Stegostoma tigrinum: one gene and its partners. The protein of the gene in region 2 interacts with the protein of the main gene of each other region in a pairwise test. Links are inferred from orthologs where the notes say so. Each region holds a gene or a part of one and is shown on either strand. Other genes may lie near its edges. The genes, in order: fbxl18, wwp2, heterogeneous nuclear ribonucleoprotein U-like protein 1 and arrestin domain-containing protein 3.

Region 1 (6,989 bases), on a different chromosome or scaffold from region 2:
TCTGATCTGCCAGTACTTCATAAAAGCATTATAAATTTTTTTTGGAAGAGGATAATACATCAGCAATTATATCTGAGAGCTTTGCATAGTAGTGGGAGCCTGATGACTTTGAGCTTCTACAGTTTAAATGACAAAATGGGAATTCATAATAGAAGAAGTCATAAAAGTGATAACAAAATGTAGTTATGCAGACAGGAAATGAGTGAAAATGTGTTTTTCAAATTCTGATTGAAATGTGTAATAAATATATCTTTAAAATTGTATATAATGTCTACTTTCAGCCCATAAACTCTCACATCTGTCATAATGAGACTCCATTAGGAGACACACATAAGGATACACATCAGAAATCCAACACAAACATCAAATTTGATGTTTAAAGAAAGATGAGAAAGTTTGAAGCTATTGCTGCCAGATCTGTGATTTTTTACTTGCCACAAATGTCAAACCAAAAGCCTAATAGTCGTATCAAACAGATACTCAAGCTCCACTGAACATAAATCTTCCACTTTCCCCATGGTTTGAACAAATCCTAGGTCCCTGCTTCCAAAGGATGCTACATCACATGCAGGAAAATCTAGGCAGTCCCAAAAATCATTTCGAAGTTCTTGACCCTGGAGCCAATAGTGCCAAAGCCAAGAACAATCCTCTGGTTCAATATTATCCTCAAAATGCAGGACTGCTTCTAAGCACAGACAAGTCCTATTTATTTTATCTGTTATTGTATAAATATCAGAGCCATGAAATCTCGAGGTAGTTCTCCTTTTGCAACTAAGTTGCCATGGGAAACTGGAGATCTCCATGGAATTTAAGGATTTAATTTTTAATCACGATTTATCTTGCATCTTAAGTTAACTTGTCTCAAATTAGCAATAAATACCAAAAGTATATCATATATGTGAAATGGCTGCAATATTCTTCAGGGAAAAGATGAATAAATTGACTTACTGATGTAGTACTCCTATTAATCGTTTGTATTGCAACAATGTTAACTTTTATTAAATGGTGAAGCATAGTCAAAGTTTGAACTGAGATGACCCTGGAGACTGGCCAATTTTTATACAAAGTAATCATCTACATAGTGAGAGGGACTCAATTAAATATATACCATTGCATATTAATTTCTAAACTTCAGGGATGCAAAGACAAAAGATAGTCCTGCAGAAACAGAACATTTGGCTTAATTTAAGTGTGTTTTCTGCTGAAAGAGTGAATAAACTGATGTAGAATCAAAGACAAGGTTTAACTTGGAGAAATAACAATTATAATGTATGTAACAAAAGCAAAACTGATGATAACAAACTATTATTGCTCATTGGTTAGTCCAGCGGAGAAAAAATTCTTTATTGAGGAAACCAGTTTATTACCTGAAGCTACTGTAAAGGCATTGACCTACCTAATTTCTGCTTATGTAATTACACTTTATTGCATTCTAGTAATGCTGAAATTATGTGAATTGTCATGTAGTAAGAGATGTGTAAAATGCTGCTGGTAAACATTTCAATTTGTAAATGTTTGAACGTCGTGAAATACAGAGTTCAGACCTGTAACATCTTTGAGGTTCCAATTGTTGTTTGTAAGAGCTGTCTTGTTGGTCACGTTTAACTCTAACTGCATACACATTATGCAGAACACTTTTTCTGAAGAAGGGTCCCGACCCGAAACGTCAAGCTTTCCTGCTCCTCTGAAGCTGCTTAGCCCGCTGTATTCATCCAACTTCACACCATATTACCTCTTTTATGCAAAACACTTGACTATATTTCAAGAATAGTTCTGATACTTGAGGAATAGATAGCACATCTAATAAGATAAATAAATCATTTTCTAAGAATTCTATTCCAAAAAAACATTTTGAAAGCTATTGTTGAGTTGATTCGTGGATAACCGCTATTTAAAGATATATTTATAATAATATTTTATAATATATTATATATATTTTAAAAATCAGCTGATAACCGATGTGCCTGTAGGTGGTGCTGTGATTAGGCCTTTTTCATGTTTTGATACTTTGGTCGTTTTCATTATATCGTTACATCTGAGGGCAATCTTTGTTAGTCCTTATCCAGAAATCAGGAAAACCTTCAAGCACAATCGGTCATCTTTTACTTCAAAACAAACATTAGGGCCCCTTTAGACAGAAGCATGAGTCCTGTTTGTTACTCATAGAATGCAGAAACGTATGGAAGGGTCCCTATCTTCACCATACTTGAACTCAGATAACTCAGTAATGTTCAAAGGTGAAACGTTGAATCCACCTGGTCCCTAATTGCTCTGCCAGCATTGTACGACACTGAGACATGAACATGAGAAAACTGTAAAGTTTTGGCCGTGACCCTGGAGAGTAACTCATCTGCACTTCTTCCATGTAGTGCTATGGGATCAGTGTCTTTACATCCACGTGAAAGTACGAAGTCTCAACCAAAAGATATCATCTCTGACAGTTTGGCACTCCCTCAGAACTGCATTCATGTGTCAACCAAGGCTCTGGAATCGGGCCCGAATCAGAGGCTAGTGTGCTGACACGACATATGTTTCACATTGAGCTCATACTAAGATAAGCCTCTGTTACATATTTTTAAAAAATAACACACACGTTATGAGTCAAGAAGAAACAGTGTAATCACCCTATTCCAATCGCTGTTAACACAGCAAGCCACAGTATGAATTGTAGTAATATACATTGGGCAGAAACTTTCGAAGTAGAATTGGACACGTACTTTGAAAAGAAAAAGTAAACAAATGTATGGATAACAAAAACAAAGTTCCTGGAAAAGTTCAGTAGGTCTGGCAGCATCTGTGGTGGAAAAAACAGAGTCAATGTTTCGGGCCCAGTGACGCTTCCTCGTTGTTCCTGATTTACGGCATCCGCAGTTCTTTCGGTTTTTATTTAAGTGTATGGATAAAATAGTGGTAGTCGGGCTAATGGGACAACTCATTCAAAGAACAATCATAGGCACAACGGACTGAATATTCTTCTCTGCTGTAAGACTCTGTGAGAAGACCTGGGGAAACGGAGTGAGACTGTTTTATTAACCCTTACAGAGCTATGGGTCAGACATAATGTCACACGATATCCGCTTAGAGAACCGAGTTTTCCCCGGCATTGGAGTCAATAACCGATCCTGGAAACACTATCATTTAATTTCAAACAAAATCAGAAGTTGCTGGAAAAGCTCAGCAGGTCTGGCAGCGCCTGTTAAGAGATATCAGTGTTAACGTTTCGGGTCCGGAGCCCCTTCCTTAGCACATCATTTAATCTCGACGAGTTTCCTTTTATGATTTGTTTAATTATGATGAGTTGTCCGCTTCCAAAAGAAACACGAGGGCAGGGCACTGTTGTAAAATTCTTAATAAAAACCAAAAGAACTGCGGATGGTGTAAATCAGGAACAAAGACAAAGTTGCCGGAAAAGCTCAATAGGTCTGGTAGCATCTGTGGAGGAGAAAACAGAGTTAACGTTTCGGGTCGGTCGGAACAGTTCTGAGGAAGAGTCACCGGACCCGAAACGTTAACTCTGTTTTCTCCTCCACACATGCTACCAGACCTATGGAGTTTTGTCCAGCAACTTTGTTTTTGTTTTATTTGTAAAATTCTTGTTAGATGCCACCGGGATGGAAAGGAAAACCCAATCTCTCGGATTCCAGGAAATGAAGCGCGGCTGAACAGCCTGTCCCTGTGTACCGCAGTTGCCTTCGACTTAGGAGCGGAGGTCGGGGAGTGAGTGGGGCGGACGCTTGGGGGAGCAGGCGGGGCGTAAGTCAGGCGGTACGTGTGGCGGAAGTCGGGCTTGAGCAGGCCAGAAAGTCGATAGGACATGTGGTGCGGCTGTCTGTGTGTGCGGGGCGGAAGTCAATGGGTCATGCGGGGCGGGTTTCACCGTGCGTGCGGGGCGGAAGTGATGGGGCATGCGGGGCAGAAGTCGATGGGGCATGCGGGGCGGATTCCACAGTGCGTGTGTCGGAATTAAGTTCCGGAGCAGCGCCGTTAGTTTGTTGGTGCAGGCAGAGTGAGTGGCAGTGGATTGGATGTGCTCTGTGTTCTGCCTCGGACTGTCAGGGAGCGTGAAATATTTTTATTTAAAGCTTTTCCTATTTACGTCTTGGTTATTCGTTAATATAGTTGTTTGTTGATGTGCTGCCTTGCCCCCGAGTGAGCTGTTAACTGAAGCCGGCGCCTGAAGAGATGGAGAGCGGGGAGGAGCCGGAGCCGGAGCCGGAGCAGGAGCAGGAGCAGGCCAAACCCCAACCCCGACCCCACACCCAGTCCCTCAACCTGACCGAGTTTTCCGATGAGATTCTGTTGACCATCCTGAGGTTTGTACCCAGCTGCGACCTCCTGCTCAATGTCCGGAAAGTGAATAGAAAGTTGGCGGCTCTGTGTATGGACAAGAGCCTGGTCAGCTCTGTCACTCTGCACAAGGAGTACCAGGTAAATCAGCAACCCACTGCTACTCTGTGCATCGTATTAATAGTTTGTGACAATGGGAGATAGCTGGAGTCTGAGCCCTCTGGAATACAGTCAGAAAGTGCTGCACGTATTTAGGATCAGACATTGAGCCAATGTTTCAATTTGGTGACTTTACAGCCGAATGTGAACTGTGAAATCCTTTCATTGACTTCCACTGTGTTTACATTCAGTGTTCTAAACAACTTCATTTCAACACCAAACTGGGATGAAATAAAAGAATTTCAATCTGAGCTGGCCATTGTTTCTAACCCCAGGAGCAAAAAAATAAATTGGGAGCTGGGAAGTAATGCATTAGCTTTCCCCAGTTGTAGTCTTGACTATTCAACTATATTGCCAAGACTAGATTCAGACATAAGCCAAATCTAGCACGTTGCAGTCAAACCTTTTTCTGTATCTATAAAAAAGGTAAAGTCACCATAATCCTACCAGACCATAGGGTTCTACTCTCTCTCTCAAAGAGAGATGATGGGGGGTGATTTAACCTGAGGGTGACCAGACCTCAGGCAAGGGGAGAGGCTGAGAAGGAGAATCATTTATCGTAACTCAGTTGGAGCAGGAATTTGAGTCCATGTTGTTTTCATTACTCTGCATCACAAACCAGCTGTCGAGTCATCTGAGTTAACTGAAATGACTCCCAATCAACTATCTCTCTTTGGAGTGATTTAATTTAAAAAAAAAACCTGGTCTACTTGTTGACTTTTAAACTTTAAAATTAGCTAAGAAGATGTACTGCTGCAAAACCCAATCAGCTACCAATTTTGTTTCTCTATGAATGGAATTGTAGAAACTACAGAATGTGATTCTTGTGAAATATGCTGCAAGAAAATGAAAAACCACTTGTTACCCTTACAGATCATTTAACAAGCACATTGATTAACATATGCCCTGCAAAGTCAGTTAACTTACCCTTATATGTGTAATTTCTGATGATCTTGGGCAAAGCAGATGCGATGGCTGATCAACTTTAGTGGCAGTAGAATAGCACTTCAGGGAGGGTTGTTAGGGGTGGTTTGCCTCAATTTTCTGCATTCCTGGTCTCCACTGCCAGCGTACTGTCAAGGACGTATGCAGCATCAAATTGACCGTTGATTCCTCTTTGTTCAACTAACATTCTGGCACTAAGGTGCCTGCACAGCATTTTAGTTTGTGTCTTTCCCCTACTTTATGTTCCATTATGATTCCAAACAATTTTCCTTTGAAATTTGCTCTAATGAAATACTTCCACTGAGCTCACTTGGTTGAGTCCAAGAATGATCTTCCTTTTTATTTTTCTGTTTATATTAATAAAAGTTGATAACTTAATTTGGTGAAGCATTTGATTCTGTGCTTTCACGTTGTTGTTTCATGTACAAGTGTAAACATAATTTTAGATTACCTTACCTGTGGCTGTGATCTCTTGCAAATGGTTGCATTATTCAAGGTTAAATCACCAATAGTTAAACCTTTGAAGGTTCACTCTTAATCTGGTATGTTGCTGGCCCATGGCACCGGCACCTCTCAGGTACAGGCAGTGGCTATCTTTGTTCTGTGATCTTTGCAAATCGAATGAGTAGCGAAGCAAGTGCTTTTGCTGATAAGTTAAAAAACTGTGAGGTTGACCAACAGTGCATTTTTTTTATTTGAGTCGTCATGTCAAGTTGAGAATGGTGTGTAGCTCTTTAATTTCACAAAACCATCTTTTTGAGTGGAAGGTCTGTCATATGTGGACAAAGTTTTAGTAACTCTGATTCTTTGATGACACAGAGATCATCTTGCTTCTATCAGGGAATTGCATACAGTTATTTCCTCGCTGATTGTTCAATTTTTTTTCTATCCTTTTCTGTCTTCCTGGTGGTCATTGACCAGATACCCTCTGATACCCAGGGCAAATGTTCACATTCCATGTGAAACTTCATGGTGAGCTTGTGTTTCCCAGGGGAGGGAGCACTCAGTCTGTCCTTGCTAAACTTTAGAGATTTGCAGTTTCTTCAGCCTGACGTGTAATTCCCTCAAAGCTCAAAGAATTGAAAGAAACACTGCCCTGCTAACCCAGAATAATCACTTGGTTGAATCTGAGATCTTCCAGTTCTGCATGTTTCAATTATTCCATGACAAATGACTAAACTATGAAGCAGAAGTTCCAAAATTTCAACAGTTACATGCATACATAAAAGTGCTTTGTTTACTGTAATAACAACTCCTAGCAAGCTTCACTGGAGAAAAGTCAGACAAAAATTGATAATGGCACAGATGCTCTGTATCTTTCTGAAATGCCGAAAGTATGTTCAAGTTGATATAAACTATGCTTTAGCTGGTGGAAGATTGCAGGGTCACTGCTGGGTGCCTGCTGAGTTAGCTGATATCCAGCAGAGGGAGCTTCGATTGGCCTGGCAGCTCCTCCCGTCCTTGGACGGATGGGACAGGGTATATGCGGACCAGCTGCAGAAGGAGGTGTAGAAGTGTATGAAAATCCAATGCGGGATAGGGCTAGGCTCAGCTAGCACAAAATTGCACAGTTTTTTGACTCTGAATGAGGCCTTGAC
Region 2 (7,623 bases):
CGTATATCATGTGATGATTTCTTTCATGGTATTCAGTGACTGGGCAGTCTTAATCTGAAGAATGTCCTAATCTGAAGATGGTCTGTGCACTCAAATGAATGCTATATTTGACATATTTTAGTTGCGAAAACATAGTTAAGAACAACTATTACAATTGTATTCTGGCAATGGGACAACTGAATAGTTATTACAAACACATAAGAAAATCAAATATTCAAAAATTCATTTAACTTTGATCTCATCATTTCCAGACCCATAGAATCATGATTGAGGTGCTTTACCCATCTCAAACAAAAACAGAAATAGCTGGAGAAAATCAGCAGGTCTGGAAGTACCTGTGGAATGAAAGCAGAATTAATGTCTTAGTTCCAGTGACCTTTCCAGAGAATTGATTGTATCTAGTTTGGTATGTATGCTGAAGATGGAGTTGGTGGGGAGGTGGGATAAATGATGGGTGGAGATGGAGCCCAGGGAGAACCAACAGCGATAGTAGGAACAGCCGATGCTGGAGAATCTGAGATAACACGGTGTGAAACTGGATGAACACAGCAGGCCAAGCAGCATCAAAGGAGCAGGAAAGCTTGATGTTTCGGGTCGGGACCCTTCTTCAGAAAAAGGGTCCCGACCTGAAACGTCAAGAGAACCAACAGCACTTGATTAGACAAAGGAATGGATAATGGTCAGCCTGGGAGAATCAACAGTTGCTAATGGGGACCATTTGTAGCTGACACCATGAGAAGCTAGGTTGTTTGTGGTAGCAGCCTTGTGATAACAAAGCCTGGTGTGTGAAGGTTAGGGGAAGGACATTGAAGGTGCTTAAGCTCTAAAATTGTTGAACTTGATATCAAGTCTTCAAGGCTGCAGGGTCTCCAAGCTACAAATGAGATTCTGTTCTTCCAGCTTATGCTGAGCTTCATGGGAGCAGTGCAGCAAGCCCAAGACAAAAACATTGGTCAGGGTAGGCAGAAGTGGTAGGCAACCGGAAGCTCAGGGTCATTTTTGCGAACAGAACATGGATGTTTTGCAAAGCCACTGCTCAGTTTGCATTTTGTCTCCCTAGTATTGTGGGGATCACATAATGAGCAGTGAATACGGTAAACTAGATTGAATGGAATGCAGGTAAAACACTGTTTCACCTTGAACGTGTGTCTGGTTCCTTGGACAGTGAGGATGGAGGAAGTAAATGGGCAGGTGTTATATCTTCTGCAATTGCATGGGAAAGTGTTGTGGGAGTGTGAGGAGGCATTGGGAGTGGAGGAGAAGTGGGCCACAGTGTCCTGGAGGGAACAGTCCCTGCTGAAGGCTAAAAAGAGAATGGTGGGAAAGATGTATGTTTTGGTAGCATCCTGCTGGAAGTGGTGGAAATGGTGACTAATGATCCTGTGGATGTGGATGCTTGTGGGGTGGTAAGTGAGGACCAAGGCAACCCTATTGGTGCTGTGGGGCCAAAGTGTGGGAGATGGGTCAGAAATGGCTCAGGGTCTTGTCAGCCAGGACAGTGGTAAATCTGTGGTTGAGGAAGAAGGTGGACATTTTGGAGGCCCCCTTGTGGAAGCTGGCATCATCAGAACAGATGTGATGAAGACAGAGAAACTGGGAGAGTGGAATGGAATCTTTACAGAAAATGGGGTGTAATGATGTATAGTCTGGGCAACTATTGGAGTCAGACATGGAAACAGATATGGTGAGGAAGGGAAGGGAGGAGTCAGAGATGGATCAAAGAAAGGTGAGCATGATGGAATTTGGAAGTGAAATAGATAAACTTTTCCTACTCCAAATGAGAGAGGGAAACAACACCAATGATATCATCGATGTACCAGAGAAAGAGTTGTGGGGAGGGACCCGAGTAGGACAGCAACAAGGAATGTTCCATGTACCCTAGCAAGAGACAGGCACAACTGGGGCCCAAGTGAATACTCATGCCACACCTTGATCTGAAGATAGTGAGAGGAGGTAAAGCAGAAGTTGTTCAGGGCCAGCTCAGCTATGTGGAGGAGGGCGGTTGTGGATAGGGATTGTTCAGGACTTCTGTCTAGGAAGAAGCAGAGAGCCTTGAGAACATCCTGGTGGGGAATGGATGTGTAAAAGGACTGCATGTGCCTGGCAAAGAGGCAGCTGGAGCCCGTGAACTGTAAATTCAGAAACTGACATGAAGCATCAGAAGAATTGCAGATGTAGGTGGGAAGGGATTAGATACGGGGGAAAAAAATTGAGTCAAGGTAGGAAGAGATGAGTTATGTGGGGCAGGAGCAAGCAGTAACAATGGGTGTGCCCACGCAGTCCTGTTTGTGGCTTTTGGGAAGGAAGTAAAAGCAGGCTATATGGGTTGGGGGAATATCAGCTTGGAGGCGGTTGGTGAGGGGAGTGCACAGTGGGGAGATCACCAGATGAAATGAGTTTAGTGACTGTCGTAGACACAAAAGGCCTGATGCCTGATGGTAGTGTCACAGTCCGGGTCCAGAGGAGGATGCCTTATTTCTTTCTGATTATGTGATCCCTTCCTATCATATATCAACAAGTCACCAAGAATGCAGATACAGACAGCATTGAAAACATCATCTATACCCGCAAAATAAATCCCCAGGGATCTGGGAGAATGACACAATTTGCTTCAAGGTTTCCAGTTCTGTTTTGATTTGTAAAAGCATAAAACATTTTGCACAGTTCTGATTTTCCACCTAACTAATTTATCCATTTCTCCTTTAGTTTTACATTATTTAGTGAAGGTAAGTTAAGTGCTGCAGAGCAAGCAACTTATGTTCACCAAGATGTCTCAGCAGTACTCACCACCTTCAGATGGGACTACTAAAAAAGCAAAGATTTGGATTTTTATGTAAATACTTGTATGGTGTCTTTCAGGAGGCAGTTACACCCCTTAGATTACCTCAAATTTGGTCAGTAGTCAGGGACATAGGGATGTTACTATGAGCGAGGCAAGTAGAGAGATCGAGGAAGTAGAGCTAAAGAAGTCTCAGCACTTGAGTTTGTCTAACAGGTTTGACAGTCTTGGTCCTAGCAAGGGCTATTGGGTGGATAAGAAACAGTCTGGGGGGAAAAAAAAGAGAAATGTGGTTGTAATTGGGGACAGTACAGTCAGGGGAACAGACACTGCTCACTGTGGTCAGGATCGAGAGTCTTGAAGGCTGCGTTGTTTGTAACAAACATAGCAAGTGAAATACTGTTAACATTTTGAGTCCAATATGGCTTCAGAACTGAAAAATAATCATCTCAGACTAAGAAAAAGTCCTGAAGAATAAGTTCTGAGGAAGAGTTATATCTCAACATTAACTCTATTTCTCTCCACAGATGCTGCCAGACTTTGTGTTTCCTCAAGCATTTTCTGTGGTTCAGATTTCCAGCATCCTCAGTATTTTGCTTTTATTTCAGTTTTTCCAGTGCCTTTGCCAACATTCCTGTTTGAACTCATTTTGCTAACACCACCATAACTGGCCAATGAGTTTGTTTGGACATTGCAAGATTGATTGATTGATTTATTGTCACACATACCAAAGTGGAATGAAAAGTTTTGTTTATGAGCCATGATGTGGAGGTGCTGGTGCTGGACTGGGGTGGACAAGGTCAAAAGTCACATGACATCAGGTTACGGTCCAACAAATTCATTTGAAAACACTAGTTTTCAGAGCTTCGCACCTTCCCCAGGTGTGGTGTTGAAGAGGAGGTGTAACAACACAGAATTTAGAAGCAGAAAGGTAACAACCCTAAAAATGGCTCACTGACTGTCTCCTGTTGAATCCTGAAGGATTTCTGACTTACTATAGGCAAATCATAGTAAGGAAGGATGTATAGATCAAGAAGACTTAAGATAGCAGCATATAGATTACATTGAACAGGGTGTGCACTTGGCAGAATCAACATCAACAAAATCCACATTATTTGAGAGTCCATTCATCAGTTTAATAAGAGTCAGGAAAGTTCCTGAACTTTGCTGGTACATGTGTTCAAGCTTCTGTATCTTCTGCAATTTTGCAGCAACATCAGTCTGCATAATCGTTATAGCTGCACTTCAACAGTTATCAATTTGTTGTAAAGCACTTTAGACTATTCACAGGGCATTGCAATACAAGGTTTTCCATTACGTTATCCTAGATTCCACCTACTAGTGATAACACAGTTTGCAGCTGGAAGAACACAGCAGGCAAGTTCACATTTCGGGTTGGGACCCTTCACCAGTTAGTGACATTTTTAAAGCAAATCAAAACAAAGTTGATAAAATGTGAGGCTGGATGAACACAGCAGGCCAAGCAGCATCTCAGGAGCACAAAAGCTGACGTTTCGGGCCTAGACCCTTCATCAGAGAGGATGAAGGGTCTAGGCCCGAAACGTCAGCTTTTGTGCTCCTGAGATGCTGCTTGGCCTGCCGTGTTCATCCAGCCTCACATTTTATTATCTTGGATTCTCCAGCATCTGCAGTTCCCATTATCTCCAAAACAAAGTTGACTGAGAGACTCATTGTAGACATGTTAAACTCAATAGCTTCAATAAAGGAAAATATTCATTGCACTCAGGTGAGGCCTTCTCTCAAGCAGTTCTGGTTCCAAAGCCTAGGCCCAGACTTAGCCTTGGTGTTGCTAGGCTGCAGGATTACTTCCGGTCAGGTGATAGCAGTCAGCTGGCAGAGAAGGCGGAAGTGAAAGCGGCGATTGAGGTAAAGTGATGGCTGATGGCCGCTGATATGACTATTTATTAATGGTGGGTGGGAGGAACTGGACCTCTAATTAATCGTTTTAGAGTACACGGTGCGTGATTTTAGGCGGGTGGTGGGGAAAAGGAGGATGCGGCGAGCTGTGTGTTTGGCTGAGGGGGGCTGGGAGTGCTGTTCAGGGCTTTCAGTCGGTCGTAAATAATAACAGCGGTTTGTCGGGCAGCTGGCGGGGTCGTCTTCAGCGTTTTGAACTCAGAGCCAAGGAAGCTGCTCGCCCACACTGGCCACCTTCACATTCCGCTTTCCAGAAAATTTGCTTGACCTGCCTCCCGTTAAATGTAGGGGCAAATGACCGCAGATGCCAGAATTTGTGCTGAAAACAACAAAATGCTGGAGATCACAGCGGGTCAGGCAATGTCTATGGACAGAGCAAGCAAATGTTTCAAGCCTAGATGAACTGAAGTGTAGAGGGGCCGGCATTGGTGCTACAGTTTGTGGGTGGTGGGTGTAGGGAGCCGTTAAAATGACATACCGAGCTTGAAATGTCAGGGCAAAGCTCGTGTGGACTCCAGTAGTTAATAAAATTTCTTAATGACTTTTGTTTACGTCAGGCATAAGTTCCAAATCGTTTCACTTCTCCTCTATGGAGAGAAGGATTCATTTGATTGTATTTCCATATAGTTTGTGTTTTGCTTTTACCTGAATTTAGACCGGGGGGGGGGGGGAATGGAGCGATGCAGGGTTTCTTCCCATGTGTTTGAGGTTTTGTAGAAATTACGACCAGACTTTGGATTCAGCAGGAAGTAATTTTATTAAAATTGAGTTGCTTTCATTTAAAAGAAGTATTTTCGTAGAGTTCGCTTCCTGTTCAATGCGTTGTTATGGCAGGAACACCAGTCACGTTTAAAGACTGAACAACTTGCTCCGGCTATAGATTCTTAGTAAACAAGGTGTAGAACTGGATGAACACAGCAGGCCAAGCGGCATCAGAGGGGCAGGAAGGTTGACGTTTCGGGCCTAGATCCTTCATCTATCTCAGATTCTCCAGCACCTGCAGCTCCCACTAATCTCTGTAGACTCTTCGTGTTCGGCTGATACGCATGAAATGGCGGTTGAAACGTTAAATAAAGAAAAATGCTGCTTATCATAGTTTCTGACTTGGTTTGTGCCCATTTTATGTTTGGGTGTATTTTGAGACTCACTGGTAACTAGGTGTGCGTCAGCGGGACTGGCTGCGATTTTTGATTCGAGGATCTTGATCATGCCCATGTAGGAAATTCCAGGCTCTTGTTTACTGTTGATGCAAAATTGAAAGTACCTAACGCTAGCACTGAGCTTGCTGCTAAAGCCCGCCCTCCGTTTATGCTGGTTGAATGGATAATTTAAAAACTTGAATATTCATACTAAGCTTCTAGTTTGTGAATATTTTATTTGCATATGCGTACTTGTCAAAAAAAATGCTGGCAGAGCTGGACAACCGTGGGTTATTTTCCTCTGACAATTGTGAAGGTTTGATACAATTACATCAGCGTTTTATTGAAATGTGGGTTCCTATACATATAAACACAAGTTAAGACGTTTCAGTATTTCAAATAGCATGTTGACTTCCCAAAGACCGCTCTTCTTGCATAGAATATTTAACATACAACAAAAGGATGGTGTCAATAAAATCAATAAATAGAGGAAAAATACAGTGTACTAAATTGATTCAGAGATAGTGGGGACTGCTGATGCTGCAGAGTCTGAGATAACCAGGTGTAGAGCTGGATGAACACAGCAGGCCACGCAGCATCAGACGAGCAGGAAAGCTGACGTTTCGGGCCTTAGCCCCTTCATCAGAAAAGTGTGAAGGGTCGAGGCCCGAAACGTCAGCTTTCCTGCTCCTCTGATGCTGCTTGGCTTGCTGTGTTCATCCAGCTCTACACCTTGTTATCTCAGCGTCTCAAAGAATTTAATATACTGTGTTAAAGATGAAGAGCAGTTTCATATTATGGTGGGAGATATGGGTTGGGGGCTCTAGTATGAAAAGTCTTGTCTTATTTATGGGAACAAGAGTAGGCTATTCATCCCTCAAGTCCATTCCACCATTTGCTGATCAGCCATGATCTGTGGCCTAACACCATATGTCTGACTTTGGCCCATATTCCTTAATAGCTTTATTTAATGATATGGTGGTGCAGTGGTTAGCACTGCTGCCCCCTAGTTCCAGGCACCTTGTTCTATTCCATGACTATTTGTGTGGAGTTTGCATGTTCTTCCTGTGTCTGTGTGTGTTTCTATAAGGTGCTGCAGTTTCTTCCTAGAGTCCAAATCGACAGGTTAGGTGGATTGACCATGCTAAATTCTCTTTAGTATCCAGTAGGATATACAAATCAGGTGGATTAGCCATGGTAATGGCGAGTTTTAAGGATAGAATTGGGGGCTGGATTTGGGTGGGATGCTTTTCAAGAGCTGATGCAGATTCAATGGGCTGAATGGCTTCCTGGTGCACTGTAGAGATTCTATGATTCAGTACGAGTGTTAACAACAAATTTCTTTTCATATCTAAAATTAACAATTGATCGTGTATCCATTAAATCCTGAGAGTTCCAAACAGTCACTACCTTTGGATATAATCTCTTTATCTACCCGTCTTTTCCTGCTAATATCTTGAAGACTTTGATTGGAGCATTCCTCAACCCCCTAAATTCTCGAGAATGCAGGCCTAATTTATATGATCTGTTCTCATGACTCAATAGTTAGGTAAGGTAACATTTTTGTAAACCTATGTTGTACTCCAGAAGCGAATCTATTGTACAGTATTGCTGTAAAGGATTGTAGAAGAGTTATTCAAGTTTCTTTATTGGGTACGGACTACCCACAGAGATACCATCAGATCAAGGGTCAAATATACATCAGTTATCCAAGGAAGTTCTGGATAGCTTAGGAATAAAACAATTTAAATTGACTGTGTACCATCC
Region 3 (7,313 bases), on a different chromosome or scaffold from region 2:
GGATGCCTAGCTACCCTGTGCTTCGGGGGAGGGGTTGGGGGTAAAAGAGATTATTCAGCCTCTGACCTGTTCTTGTAGCCATAGTGTTTACATGGCTGGTTCAAATGTGTTTTCTGGCTGATGGTAAATCTAGGATGTTGACAGTAGGGATTCAGTACTCAATGCTATTCAATGTTAGAGGGAGAAGGTTTGATACTATTTTTGTTGGAGAATGATATGATGATTACCGGCTACTTAAGTGGGCAAGTGTCATTTGTGTCACACATCAGCCTAAGACTGAATGTTGTTGATCTCTTGCCTTGTGCTTCGGTATCTGAGGAATTGTGAATGGTATGAAAAATGCGATCATTACCAAACATACCCACTTCTGACCTTACATTGAAGGTAGGGGTCATTGAAACAAGTGAAGCTGGTTTGGCCTGGAACTTTATTATTCTGAGGAACTCTAACAGTGATGTCCTGGAATGGAGATCATTGCCTCCAGCAACCCTAGCCAATTTTTCTTTGTATTAGGTATGACTCCAATGAGTGGATAAATTTCCCCTATTCCAATTGTTCACCTCATTTCTTTTTTGATAGTTAAATCAAGGTTGCAATGAGATCTGGAACTGAGTGGCTAGCGCAGAATCTAAATTGTGTAAGTGAGTGGATTGTTCCTGATCAAGTGCTGCTGGATGTCACAGGATTGCTGACTGAGAGTAGACTGATATAGCAGAAAGTGGATGGATCGGATTTAGTTCTTTGAGAAGGTGACCAAACAGGTAGATGAGAGTAAACCGGTTGATGTGGTGTATATGGATTTCAGCAAGGCGTTCGATAAGGTTCCCCACAATAGGCTATTGTACAAAATGCGGAGGAATGGAATTGTAGGAGATATAGCAGTTTGGATGGGAAATTGGCTTTCTGAAAGAAGACAGAGGGTGGTGGTTGATGGGAAATGTTCATCCTGGAGACCAGTTACTAGTGGTGTACCGCAAGGGTCAGTGTTGGGTCCACTGCTGTTCGTCATTTTTATAAATGACCTGGATGAGGACATAGAAGGATGGGTTAGTAAATTTGCAGACGACACCAGGGTCGGTGGAGTTGTGGATAGTGACGAAGGATGCTGTAGGTTGCAGAGAGACATAGATAAGCTGCAGAGCTGGGCTGAGAGGTGGCAAATGGAGTTTAATGCAGACAAGTGTGAGGTGATGCACTTTGGTAGGAGTAACCGGAAGGCAAAGTACTGGGCTAATGGTAAGATTCTTAGTAGTGTAGATGAGCAGAGAGATCTCGGTGTCCATGTACACAGATCCTTGAAAGTTGCCACCCAGGTTGACAGGGCTGTTAAGAAGGCATACAGTGTTTTAGCTTTTATTAATAGAGGGATCGAGTTCCGGAACCAAGAGGTTATGGTGAAGCTGTACAAAACTCTGGTGCGGCCGCACTTGGAGTATTGTGTACAGTTCTGGTCACCACATTATAAGAAGGATGTGGAAGCTTTGGAAAGGGTGCAGAGGAGATTTACTAGGATGTTGCCTGGTATGGAGGGAAGGTCTTATGAGGAAAGGCTGATGGACTTGAGGCTGTTTTCATTAGAGAGAAGAAGGTTGAGAGGTGACTTAATTGAAACATATAAAATATTCAGAGGGTTAGATAGGGTGGATAGGGAGAGCCTTTTTCCTAGGCGAGCACAAGGGGGCATAGCTTTAAATTGAGGGGTGAAAGATATAGGACAGATGTCAGAGGTAGTTTCTTTACTCAGAGAGTAGTAAGGGAATGGAACGCTTTGCCTGCAACGGTAGTAGATTCGCCAACTTTAGGTACATTTAAGTCGTCATTGGATAAGCATATGGACGTACATGGAATAGTGTAGGTTAGATGGGCTTGAGATCGGTATGACAGGTCGGCACAACTTCGAGAGCCGTAGGGCCTGTACTGTGCTGTAATGTTCTATGCTTTTTGTGACACAACCTACCTAGACAATTTTCCACATTGTTTGGTAGGTGTCAGAGCTGTGCTAGAACAGTTTGGCAAGAGACGCAAATAGTTCTAGAGCACAAATATTCTAGCTACAGGGCCTTTGTTGGAAATATTATCATTGTATGCTGTATATTACTCATTTATCACTGAGTGAAAAAAAATTGAAGTTTACTATGTGCGATGCTGGATAACTCAGGGAAAGGGTGGGATGCATCATCCACTCAGCACTCTGCCTGGGGATAGTTGTAAACATTCTAGCCTTGTTTTTTTCACACTGACATACTGGGGTCCACTGATATTGAGAACGAGGACATTTTTACAGCGTCCTCCTCCAGTTATTTAATTGAGCACCAACATCATGTCTGAATGTGGCATGGCTGCAGAGCTTCAATCTGGCCCATTGGTTGTGGCGTGACTTGGCTCTGCCTATATTGTTCTGTACTTGCTGTTTGCATGTTAGTCCTGTGTAGTGGCTTCACCAACTTGGCACCCTGTTTTGACTGTTGGTGCTTCTGTTTTATTTTTCTATGATCCTTTTTAAAGTAGAGTTGGTCTTGCGGCTTGACGGCAATGGTAGAGTGAGGGATATATGGGCCATGCGGTTACAGATTGTTGAATGAAAGTCTGCTACAGCTGATGGCTCAGAATGTCTCTGAGATGACCAACTTTTGAGCTACTAAAGCCGCCCTGAATTAATTCCAGTTTTCAAGTGTCAGTAGCATACAATACAATGGAGGATATCCCAGTGTGAAGACAGGAATTCGGCCCCAGAAGGACTGGACTCTGATCGCTCATCTGTGACAAGTCTGTGGCACAGTTCTCCCAGATAATGAGAGGCATTCACTTGGGAGGCTGTTTCTTATTGTTTCCAGTGTGAAGGCTAATGCTGGGTGATCTGTTGTTATTCAGCTTTTGGTGGTAATTTTGAATGATGGTTGCTTGCTAGATTTTTTCAGAGGGTATTTGAGAGCCATCCAAAATCACATGTTGGCCAGGCTAAGCAAGGACAGCAGATTGCCTTCCCAGACTATCTTTGTTGATCAGAGCTTTGAATGCAGATTGTTGAAGAGGCCACTTTGAGTACTGTTCACAGTTCTGGTCACCCTGCTATAGGAAGGATATTAATAGGTAGGAGAGAGTGCAGAATAGATTTTCAAGGATGTTACAGGGACTGGAAGGTTTGAGTTATAGGGAGTCTGGATAGGTTGGGATGCTTTTCACTGGAGTATAGGAGGTTGTGGTGTGACCTTATCGAGGATTATAAAATCGTGAGGGTTATAGATAAGGTGAATAGCAAGGTCTTTTCCCTAGATGGCTTATTTGAAAGGGGAAATATGTCAGTGACCTGAGGGGCAAATATTTCACACACACAATGGTTCATATGAGGAATGACCTGCAGAGGGAATGGTAGATGCAGGTGCAGCTACAATATTTAAAAGACATTTGGACAGGTACATGAATAGGAAAGGGTTGGCGCAAATGCAGGCAAATGGGACTAGTTTCATTTGGGGAACTTGGTTAGCATAGACAAGATACACTGAAGGGTCTAGTACTGTGCTGTATGACTCTAAGGAGCATTAGTGAATCAGATGAGGCTTTAGGACAATCTGGTAGTTTCACCATTATTATTGTGAATTGACCATTTTATTTCAGGTTTATTAATTAATAGAATCCAAGTTCCCCCGGATCCAGGAGTGGCATGATCCTTGAGTCATTGTAAATACCTGTGGTTTATTGGTTTAGTGACATCACTACTGTTCAATTATCCCCCATTTTAATATTATTTACTTGTAAAATTTTAGTTATGGATTTTTTAAAAAGTTCCTTTATTAGATGTACCTCTTTAACAAAAGTGAAGAGTTTTTTTACATCTCTTGGGACTTCACTTTCATCCCTATTGAAAAATATCCTTTTCCTTTGGTGTAGCCGAATGGTTTTGATTGACATTTGAACAGCCCATTCAGCTTTCGAGATAATCGGGAACGCTGTTGTCCTATGGTAGTAGCGGATAGAAGTTGGAACTTGGACTCCGGATGTTGATTGGGCCTTTGGGCACAGAGCCTACTCTCCTCTAAGGCCGAATTTTATTGGCCAACCCGCCCATACGCACACCAGGGCCTCCAAATTTGACTCCCCTTTCAAGCTGCGGGGAAGCTAGGCCAATGAGAAGCGGTGACTCAAAGCAGCAGCGGAAGCAAGGGGCAGGCCGGCTGCGAGACGGCTCCTGATTGGCGATTTGGTAACAGCAGGCGCATTGTGAGCAGCTGATGACCAATGAGGAGCGCGGAGAGAAAAGTGGGTTTGGCTGCGCCTGGCGCCACCAAAGTGGGTGCAGGGAGACGGCGGCCATTTTGTTTCGTCAGACGCCGCGGCAAGAGAGAGGAATTTTCTTTATAGAATCCAAAGTGTCCTTTTTTTTACCTTTTGCCAATCGGTTGGAGCAGTGCACTTATTATATTTTTTCCTTCACGTGGCCTCCCACATTACTAAGCCGCTTTTTTGGTTGGTGGTGGGGCATTTTTAAAAGAAATTGAGAAAATAGTTTTAATTTAAATAAACGGGAATGAGTTCGCTGGACGTGCGGAAACTAAAAGTGAACGAGCTCAAGGAGGAGCTGCACAGACGCGGCCTTGACACAAAGGGCCTCAAGGCGGATCTGCAGGAGCGGCTGCAGGCAGCTCTGGACCGTGCCGCTGACGAAGAACAAGAAGCAGCCAAAGCCGCCGCCACTGCCGAACGGCAGCGACAGGAGGAGGCGGAGAGAGCGCGGGCAGGTGAGGCCTAGGCGTGCATGCGCGGAGCTTCCGGCAGGTAAGCCGGCTGTGCGCAGGCGCGGATCCCGCCCACGGACTCACCTTGAAATGGGGAGGGAGGGGACGACTGGAGTGAGATATTCTCGTTGCATTCGGTCGCTGATCTCATCTATTTCCTCCCCCTTTTAAATTACTCGACTGTTGGCTCTCAACCCATAATGCAATAGAATCTGCAGTTAAAATAAAACAAAGAACTGCGGGTGCTGAAGGTCTGAAGCAGAAGTTGCTGGAGAGATTCAGCGTCTGTGGAGAGAAAGCAGTTCTGAGTTTCGACTCCAGTGAATCTGCAGTTATTTCTGGATGGAAGTCTTTGTGTTTTCAAGAGGAATCATCTAGTTGTTTGATTTCCTGGAAAGACTTATGCCCCATTTTAGCTTTTAGTAGACTGCATTTGATTCTGAGCTTATTTACAGAGTCTTAAGAAGCACGGCAGAACGGCTGTTTCCCCCCTTCTAGTAGCCTGACATGTGCTGGAAACAGATTCCATAGTTGGCCTTGAAAGAGAATTTGATATGAACCATAACTAGAATCTCTGTAGCGAGTTTTGAGAACATTTGTAGCTCAGGTTGAGGTTCTGGATAATAAAATGTGAGGCTGGATGAACACAGCAGGCCAAGCAGCATCTCAGGAGCACAAAAGCTGACGTTTCGGGCCTAGACCCTTCATCAGAGAGGGGGATGGGGAGAGGGAACTGGAATAAATAGGGAGAGAGGGGGAGGCGGACCGAAGATGGAGAGTAAAGAAGATAGGTGGAGAGAGTATAGGTGGGGAGGTAGGGAGGGGATAGGTCAGTCCAGGGAAGACGGACAGGTCAAGGAGGTGGGATGAGGTTAGTAGGTAGCTGGGGGTGCGGCTTGGGGTGGGAGGAAGGGATGGGTGAGAGGAAGAACCGGTTAGGGAGGCAGAGACAGGTTGGACTGGTTTTGGGATGCAGTGGGTGGAGGGTAAGAGCTGGGCTGGTTGTGTGGTGCAGTGGGGGGCGGGGACGAACTGGGCTGGTTTAGGGATGCAGTAGGGGAAGGGGAGATTTTGAAACTGGTGAAGTCCACATTGATACTATATGGCTGCAGGGTTCCCAGGCGGAATATGAGTTGCTGTTCCTGCAACCTTCGGGTGGCATCATTGTGGCAGTGCAGGAGGCCCATGATGGACATGTCATCAAGAGAATGGGAGGGGGAGTGGAAATGGTTTGCGACTGGGAGGTGCAGTTGTTTGTTGCGAACTGAGCGGAGGTGTTCTGCAAAGCGGTCCCCAAGCCTCTGCTTGGTTTCCCCAATGTAGAGGAAGCCGCACCGGTTCAATTCGTCCCCTCCCCCCACTGCACCACACAACCAGCCCAGCTCTTCCCCCCCACCCACTGCATCCCAAAACCAGTCCAACCTGTCTCTGCCTCCCTAACCGGTTCTTCCTCTCACCCATCCCTTCCTCCCACCCCAAGCCGCACCCCCAGCTACCTACTAACCTCATCCCACCTCTTTGACCTGTCCGTCTTCCCTGGACTGACCTATCCCCTCCCTACCTCCCCACCTATCTTCTTTACTCTCCATCTTCGGTCCGCCTCCCCCTCTCTCCCTATTTATTCCAGTTCCCTCTCCCCATCCCCCTCTCTGATGAAGGGTCTAGGCCCGAAACGTCAGCTTTTGTGCTCCTGAGATGCTGCTTGGCCTGCTGTGTTCATCCAGCCTCACATTTTATTATCTTGGAATTCTCCAGCATCTGCAGTTCCCATTATCTCTGAGGTTCTGGATGTGAGTTTGCTCGCTGTGCTGGAAGGTTAGTTTTCAGACGTTTCGTTACTTTTTTTTATTTGAAAAAATATACTTTATTCATAAGATGTACAAAAAATAAAACATTTATACACCTACCCAGTCATGCAAGTCGCTCCGGGTTACCCAGGGGGTACGTACACCAACTAAAGGAAAAAAAACAAACAAAGAAAAAAAAAGCAAAGAAAATACCCCGGCAGCCGTCACCCCGCACAGTCCCAGTTGGCTCCCTGACCAGTTGTGGAAGGCACCAGCTGGGTCCAGTTACCAGATAGGGCCCTTTTTTCTATTCTGGATGAGGGGTTTCATACTGTGGTCTTTCCCCACCGCGCCTTGGCGGCGGCTGCCCCAAGCTTTAGCACGTCCCTCAGCACGTAGTCCTGGACCTTGGAGTGCGCCAGTCTGCAACATTCGCTCGGGGTCAGTTCTTTCAGCTGGCAGACCAGCAAGTTGCGGGCAGACCAAAGAGTGTCTTTCACCGCATTGATGGTCCTCCAGGCGCAGTTGATGTTGGTCTCGGTGTGCGTCCTGGGAAACAGCCCGTAGAGTACAGAGTCCCACGTCACGGACCTGCTCGGGACGAACCTCGACAAATACCAATGCATCCCCCTCCAGACCTCCTGCGCATAGGCACTCTCCAGAAGGAGGTGATCAACAGTCTCGTTCCCCCCCGCAGCCACCTCAAGGGCAGCGTGCGGTGGCGCAGAGATTCCGGACATGCATAAAGGATTTCACTGGCAGAGCCCCTCTCACCGCCAGCCAAGCAATGTCC
Region 4 (7,090 bases), on a different chromosome or scaffold from region 2:
TAAACAAGGGAGTTACAACAGCAATTTTCCAATCATCTGGGACTTTCCCTGACTCCAGTGACTTTTGAAAGATCACGACCAAAGCCTCCGCTATTTCCTCAGCCACCTCCCTCAGAACTCTAGGATGTAGCCCATCGGGGCCAGGAGGTTAATCAATTTTTTGGACCCTTTAGCTTTTCTCGCACTTTCTCTATTGTAATGCCTACCGTACTCAACTCTGCCCCCTGGCTCTCCCTAATTGTTGGCATACTACTCACATCTTCCACTGTGAAGACTGACGCAAAACACAAAGGCCATCAGGCAGTGGTTAGCACGTAGAATTCTCGAGACCCTTCGGGAAAAGGAGAGGTTGGATCCTGTCGTGTGGTTCCCCACGCAGACTGCCAAAGTCGTTTGGCAGAATGCCTCATCGCCAAAACTTTCAAACAAGCACAAGGACATTGCTTGGCTGGCGGTGAGAGGGGCTCTGCCAGTGAGATCCTTTATGCATGCCCGGAATCTCTGCGCCACCGCACGCTGCCCTTGAGGCGGCTGCCGGGGGGGACGAGACTGTCTATCACCTCCTTCTGGAGTGTGCCTATGCGCAGGAGGTCTGGAGGGGGATGCAGTGGTATTTGTTGAGGTTCGTCCCGAGCAGCTCCGTGACACAGGACTCCGTGCTCTACGGGCTGTTTCCCGGGACGCACACCGAGGCCAACATCAACTGCGCCTGGAGGACCATCAATGCAGGGAAAGATGCTCTTTGGTCTGCCCGCAACTTGCTGGTCTGCCAGGTGAAAGAACTGACCCCAACCGAGTATTGCAGACTGGCACACTCCAAGGTCCAGGACTATGTGCTGAGGGACGCGCTCAAGCTTGGGGCAGCCGCTGCCAAGGCACTGTGGGGAAAGACCACCGTATGAAACCCCTCGTCCAGAATAGAAACAAGGGCCCTATCTGATAACTGGGCCCAGCTGGTGCCTTCCCCAACTGGTCAGGGGGCCAACGGGGGCTGTGCGGGGAGACGACTGCCGGGGTATTTTCTTTGCTTTGTTTTTTTTCTTTGTTTTGTTTTTTCCTTTAGTTGGTGTACGTACCCCCTGGGTAACCTGGAGCGGCTTGCATGACTGGGTAGGTGTATAAATGTTTTACTTTTTGTACATTCTATGAATAAAGTGTATTTTTTCAAATTAAAAAAAAGCGACAAAACGTCTGAAAACAAACCTTCCAGCTCAGCGAGCAAACTTACATCCAGTGCAAGGAATTCCCAGGAGGATGCCCTAGACCAAATACCTTCGGCTACACTTTTAATGAGCTTCTTCCTACCATAAAATCAGAACTGGGAATGGTTATTGATGAGTACACAGTGTTCAAAACCATTCATGACCCCACAAATATTGATGCAATCTGTCTATGTGCAGCAAGGCTTGAATAGTCCTGCTTGGGCTGAGAAGTGGAAGAAACACTCCCCACAGCTACAAGGCAATGTCCTTCTCCAACAAGAAAGAATCTAATTGTCTCCCCTTCGCATTCAATGGCATTACCATTGCTAACTGCATCACTTCTGAACATCCGATGGGTTATCATTGACTAGAAACTGAACAAGCCATATAAATACAAGACCAGGTTAGAGTCAAGGAATTGTATAGAAGATTAGTCACTTCCTGTCTCTACAACACCTGTCTACCACCTGCAAGGCACATGTCAGGAGTGTGATAGAATACACTCCACTTCTTTGCATAAAGCTCCAACAACAATTGTGAAACTCAACACCAAAAGCAACTTGTTTGAATGGTACACTTCTACCACCATCAACATTCATTCCCTCCACCAACAATGCAGCAGCAGCACTGTGTACCACCTCAGAGATGCACTGCATTAATTCACCAAGGTTCCTTTGAAAGCATGATCAAAACCTGCAAACTGTACACCCTGGACAACAGCAGGAATCTGCTTGGATGCACCGTCATCTGCAAGTTCCCCTCAAGCACATGCCATCCTGACTTGGAAATACATTGTCATTCCTTCACTCTTGCTGGGTCAAAATCCTGGAACTCCCTTCCTAACAGCCATTGTGATGTCCCTAATCACATGGATTGTTGCAGTTCAAAAAGGTGACTCTGCCATTTTCTCAAATTGTGGGGATAGGCAAAAAATGCTGGCTGGGCTAGTGATGTCCAAGTCCATTAAAAAAACACCAAATGTAGATATTTTCCACGCAATCTGTTCTGAGATGTTGTCACACTTGTTACCCCAGGTTTGTCAAGTGCCTAATTGAGGTGATTAAGGTGAATAACAGATTTGATAGAGAAGTTGGAGTTAGTTAAACTATTTTCCCTTAGTGAAGAAAAGGGAATAATGAAGGGTCTAGGCCCGAAACGTCAGCTTTTGCCATCCTGAGATACTGCTTGGCCTGCTGTGTTCATCCAGCTTCACACCTTGTTACCCTAATAGCCGTTAATGTTGCACAACTGACAATTCCACAATTGACACTTGTGGATTTTCGTTGGGCAGAGTAACTGAGGATTTATGGAACCACATCGAGTAGCTAGAATAACGATACAAACCAGCCGTCATCAGGTTGAAGATAATAAAATGTGAGGCTGGATGAACACGGCAGGCCAAGCAGCATCTCAGGAGCACAAAAGCTGACGTTTCGGGCCTACACCTTTCAGCAGAGAGGGGGATGGGGAGAGGGAACTGGAATAAATAGGGAGAGAGGGGGAGGCGGACCGAAGATGGAGAGTAAAGAAGATAGGTGGAGAGAGTATAGGTGGGGAGGTAGGGAGGGGATAGGTCAGTCCAGGGAAGACGGACAGGTCAAGGAGGTGCGGCTTGGAGTGGGAGGAAGGGATGGCTGAGAGGAAGAACCGGTTAGGGAGGCAGAGACAGGTTGGACTGGTTTTGGGATGCAGTGGGTCGGGGGGAAGAGCTGGGCTGGTTGTGTGGTGCAGTGGGGGGAGGGGACGAACTGGGCTGGTTTGGGGATGCAGTAGGGGAAGGGGAGATTTTGAAACTGGTGAAGTCCACATTGATACCATATGGCTGCAGGGTTCCCAGGCAGAATATGAGTTGCTGTTCCTGCAACCTTCGGGTGGCATCATTGTGGCAGTGCAGGAGTCAGATTGAATGCCGTTACAGGCTTCAGTTTGAAGGTCCTTATTCCTACTTCTACGTCATGTTTAAAAAGTCGTCAAAACGCAATCTTTACATTTCGCCGATAAATCATGGAGCCTCAAGAAAGATTTACATTGTGAAAATATTTTTAAAGAGACATCAATATTGCGTGGATTGCTTATTTCGGGGCAGTAGCTGAAATGTTGAAAGCGAGTGAAAGACGTGAATGTATAAAAGTTCAAAATAGATGTGGAAAAGAAATGACATATGTGCGAGGTAAAACAGAAGACGGAGAAACGTTAGAATGCTGTGATAAATCGAACGGATGTTAAGTCGGGGATAAAGGAAATTAAGTTACAAGTAAAAAGTAACAGGCTGTCTTCATCCAGCTCTACATCTTGTTATCTCTAAAAAGTACCCCTAAGTAGTTGTAAATTTGGAATTGGCTATTACATGAAATAGCCACACGGTGTCGACAAGGTGTAGAAGACTGACGAGAGGAGGATTATACACCGAATATTACTTGGGTGCAACAATTGCAACAACCGCTATTATTATTTTGTATTGTGCTTCAGCGACGGTTATGTCTATTTTAATGTGCAGAATAAAGCCTTCAAAATCTATTGCTACCGCACGGACGAATAATGCAACATGAGTGCGGCAGATGCATGCGACGTGACCCATGTGTTACTGCAACAAACCGGGGAGTGGCGCTAATTCGAATGCTCGCCTTGTGCATTGAATTGATGGAATTAATGACCTTTTGTAATCGCGTTAGTACAAAAAATGCCTGCGGCACGATAGACTGCGAATTCTGATATTATATATATGTATATTTTTAATGGTGCAAATAAAAAACATGTATTTTATATGTTTGTCTCTGTGCTACTAGTCTACTTTAAGGGGGAATGACCTCAATCAGCTGTTGATCAGCTGGCACTGGCTCTAGACTCAAGGCGGAAGCAGGGTGAATCATGCACAGGCGCACTGGAGTTGTTTTTCACAAAAACCGTTTTAAGTGAGGTGGTAGGTATGATATCCCCGTCTTTTGTACAGACCAAAAGCTGGGCAACAGCATCTCTAACTGTCCAAATCCAGATGCTCCTTTTTAATATTGCAGTGGTCGTGCCTGCTGTTTTTGCAGCAAAAGGCACTGATCAGTGGTGAAGATCCCACTTTTCAGATTTTTTTTGTACTTTTTTTATAGTCACGTATATCTACATAGATTATAAATAACCATGGTGCTGGGAAAGGTGAAGAGTTTTACAATAAGCTATGACTGTCCTAATGATAACAATATACCCGTCTATGCCAGCGGAGATTCTGTCTCTGGACGGGTAATTATAGAAGTTACTGGTGAAATCAGGGCGAGATCTCTTGCAATCCATGCGAGGGGACAGGCGAAAGTACGCTGGACAGAATCGAGAAACGCTGGTTCTAATACTGCCTATACTCAGAACTACACTGAAGAAGTAGAGTATTTCAGCCACAAAGACCTTTTAATCGGGCATGATAGAGGTAAGCTTGGAACTGGAACAAATAATCTTTCTGATCTGAGAGTTTGTTTTGTTTAAAGTCTTTGTGCAGCTTACTGTAACCCTACTGTAAAATGTGAGCAATGGAGATCAGATTGTACGACCAATTTAGAAGTGCAATTTTAATGTTATAAAACGTTATTAGTTATTATAAGTATTAAGATAAAGGAGTTAAAATTTCATTTGACATAACTTCATAGATGTAAAAGTTCGGTATCCTGTCACTCACCTTTCACTGCCAATTTGTTTGCCAATGAGTGGTGAGATTTTACATAGGGTGGTTAGCAATGGTTTCAAACAAATTTCGTGACAATATTTTGCCGATTTTCGAAATTGCAGTAATTCTACTGCACCGATTTATAGGGTTTAACTCCTTTCTTCCTGTTCAGGACCGTCATTTTGTAATATGCAAAAGAAATCCAAACGATTGCACTGTTGAATTTCTAGTGACAGTTTCATCCATCCAAGCGTTTTTTTCTTTGCAATTCAGATTTGAAACCAAATGTCTAAATTACAATAGAAAATAAATGCCTGACTGCCCTTTCAATAATTGCAGTAATGTGTGTGCAGTGACTTCCAGACCAAGTCTTTGAATTTACAGTCCAAAAATGTTCGAAAACTCGTTATTTTTAAAAGGAAAAACTTATTCAAATAATTTCTAAATCGATACAATGGGGCCATTTAATCTAAATTTGATGTGCTATGTGGCTTACAGCAACATTATTCGACCCATCACTTAGAGGTGTCATTGACATTAAATTGATTATATATAGATTTCTGCAGTGACATCGCTTGTCTCAATATTATATTTGTAAACTTATATATTTAACAATTGCAAATTTACTGTATATTCAGTAACATTCAAAAAAGGTTAGTTGTTTTCCTAAGTTTCCACCCTTTGTTCAAAGCGGTTCAATCCTGTTTGGGACAAGCATTAGGGGGGAGGGAGGGGGAATGTGAGTCTTCTCTTCGCTCATTGGTTTACACCGTCAGATGGTGAGGATGACTTAATGCTATTTTGCAGAAAAACAATTTGCAACAGCTGCTTTGCACCTTCGTAATATATGTATATTACCAATAAAAATATATTTTTTTCCTTGAAATGACCTTTTTCCACACCGGTGTGTGGGTATAGGTGTAATACCGTATCAATTCAATTTGCAAATCTTCTATGAAATTGCGTTATTTCAATCTACTTTCATGGATACGGAAAAGAATGAGCCCCTGGCATGTTTTTTTTCAGTACATATTTACATCAACCTTAAATATTCCGGAGGAGGATCGATCAGCGGATTAAGAATACAGTTGTGCTTATTTGTCTTAACCTTGCTGAGTGAAAAGGCAGAGATGTTCACTTTATTTCTAGTTTCTTCAAACAGATATTTTTGAGATTCTACAATCTGCACAGTACATCGTGTAAATGATGTGCAGTCGCCATTTATTCATTGCAAAATGGTAGAAATTGTAATACAATGAAGTTTGGCGTGCTGTGTCTTACCAAGTTTTCTGTCGTTTAGCTTGGCTTTGTTGCAATTGCTCCTCCCCGACGTGCCGATTGGTTCCTCTGTTTGTTAGACTGTTGCTAAGGCGCCGTTAACTTTAGATTGGCCAGTGGAGCTGTCTATCACCTATCGTTTGTTCTGCTTCAGTGATCGACTCTTGCAAAAAAAATCTTTTAAGAGTTCATGGTCTTATAAAAAGGGTGGATTTAGTAAAGCAGGGACGTGGCAGGAATGCATCATTATTTAGAACGTGTATAATCGATGTCATTTTATTTCTGAGAACAGTGGCAACGTTAAATCTCCCCTTTTGATGAACATTGTAGTCAATCGTATGTGCGATTCTCAAGCCCTTAAAATAAGAGGCCGAAGCAACAATTTAAGTCCAAATGACAACACAACAATTTTCTTTTTTTAAAAAAATTCTAAAAAATCCTTTTTCTACGTGTGTGCGTTGAGAATGGGTTGCATTTATGGATCGCCTGGTGTGTGTCCAGCCCCTCCCTTCCATTGCTCTTGTTTCCCCCCTCTCTCCCTCCCTCTATGAGCAGACTAGGCTGGGCTGGGCTCTGCTGCTGCTGATGAATACCATGTGGTTGCGGCTGAGCTGGGCTGTTCGCTCCGGTTCAGGCCGGCTCTCTCCGCTGTCTGCCTGCTGCTGATTGACAGCTCACTACTTGTTTACCGCTTCACTGCAAAGCTGAGCGTGCTGAGCTGGCAGAAAAAGGGGAGAGGGAGAAATAGGCAGAACCTCATGGAGGAAAATAAAGTTGCACAAGAAATCGTTACAAATAATGTTGTATTATGTTGCAATTTTTTTAGATTCAACATTATTCTTAAATTTATTTTTAACCATGACAATGCTATGGATAGAAATTGATCTTCAAATTGCACCGTGTAAGGATTTCGAACGTTTCTAGTGATTTAACAGTTTATTTTAGAAAAAAGGCACTAATCCCT

The links.
Region 1: the proteins of wwp2 (region 2) and fbxl18 interact in a two-hybrid assay, tested with the Homo sapiens proteins (3 studies listed by BioGRID and IntAct). The link is inferred for Stegostoma tigrinum from reciprocal best matches to the Homo sapiens genes WWP2 and FBXL18.
Region 3: the proteins of wwp2 (region 2) and heterogeneous nuclear ribonucleoprotein U-like protein 1 interact in binary tests that used the Homo sapiens proteins (3 or more experiments, as listed by UniProt). The link is inferred for Stegostoma tigrinum from reciprocal best matches to the Homo sapiens genes WWP2 and HNRNPUL1.
Region 4: the proteins of wwp2 (region 2) and arrestin domain-containing protein 3 interact in binary tests that used the Homo sapiens proteins (3 or more experiments, as listed by UniProt). The link is inferred for Stegostoma tigrinum from reciprocal best matches to the Homo sapiens genes WWP2 and ARRDC3.

The regions. Positions count from the first base shown.
Region 1 is NC_081376.1:10,999,986-11,006,974, reverse strand, and holds the start of fbxl18 (F-box/LRR-repeat protein 18), read left to right. Parts: upstream 1-3,986; 5' UTR 3,987-4,182; coding exon 4,183-4,428; intron 4,429-6,989. UniProt on the Homo sapiens protein: Substrate-recognition component of the SCF (SKP1-CUL1-F-box protein)-type E3 ubiquitin ligase complex.
Region 2 is NC_081369.1:42,090,326-42,097,948, forward strand, and holds the start of wwp2 (NEDD4-like E3 ubiquitin-protein ligase WWP2), read left to right. Parts: upstream 1-4,615; 5' UTR 4,616-4,666; intron 4,667-7,623. UniProt on the Homo sapiens protein: E3 ubiquitin-protein ligase which accepts ubiquitin from an E2 ubiquitin-conjugating enzyme in the form of a thioester and then directly transfers the ubiquitin to targeted substrates.
Region 3 is NC_081392.1:7,469,705-7,477,017, reverse strand, and holds the start of heterogeneous nuclear ribonucleoprotein U-like protein 1, read left to right. Parts: upstream 1-4,302; 5' UTR 4,303-4,525; coding exon 4,526-4,736; intron 4,737-7,313.
Region 4 is NC_081356.1:92,345,278-92,352,367, forward strand, and holds the start of arrestin domain-containing protein 3, read left to right. Parts: upstream 1-4,080; 5' UTR 4,081-4,334; coding exon 4,335-4,614; intron 4,615-7,090. UniProt on the Homo sapiens protein: Adapter protein that plays a role in regulating cell-surface expression of adrenergic receptors and probably also other G protein-coupled receptors.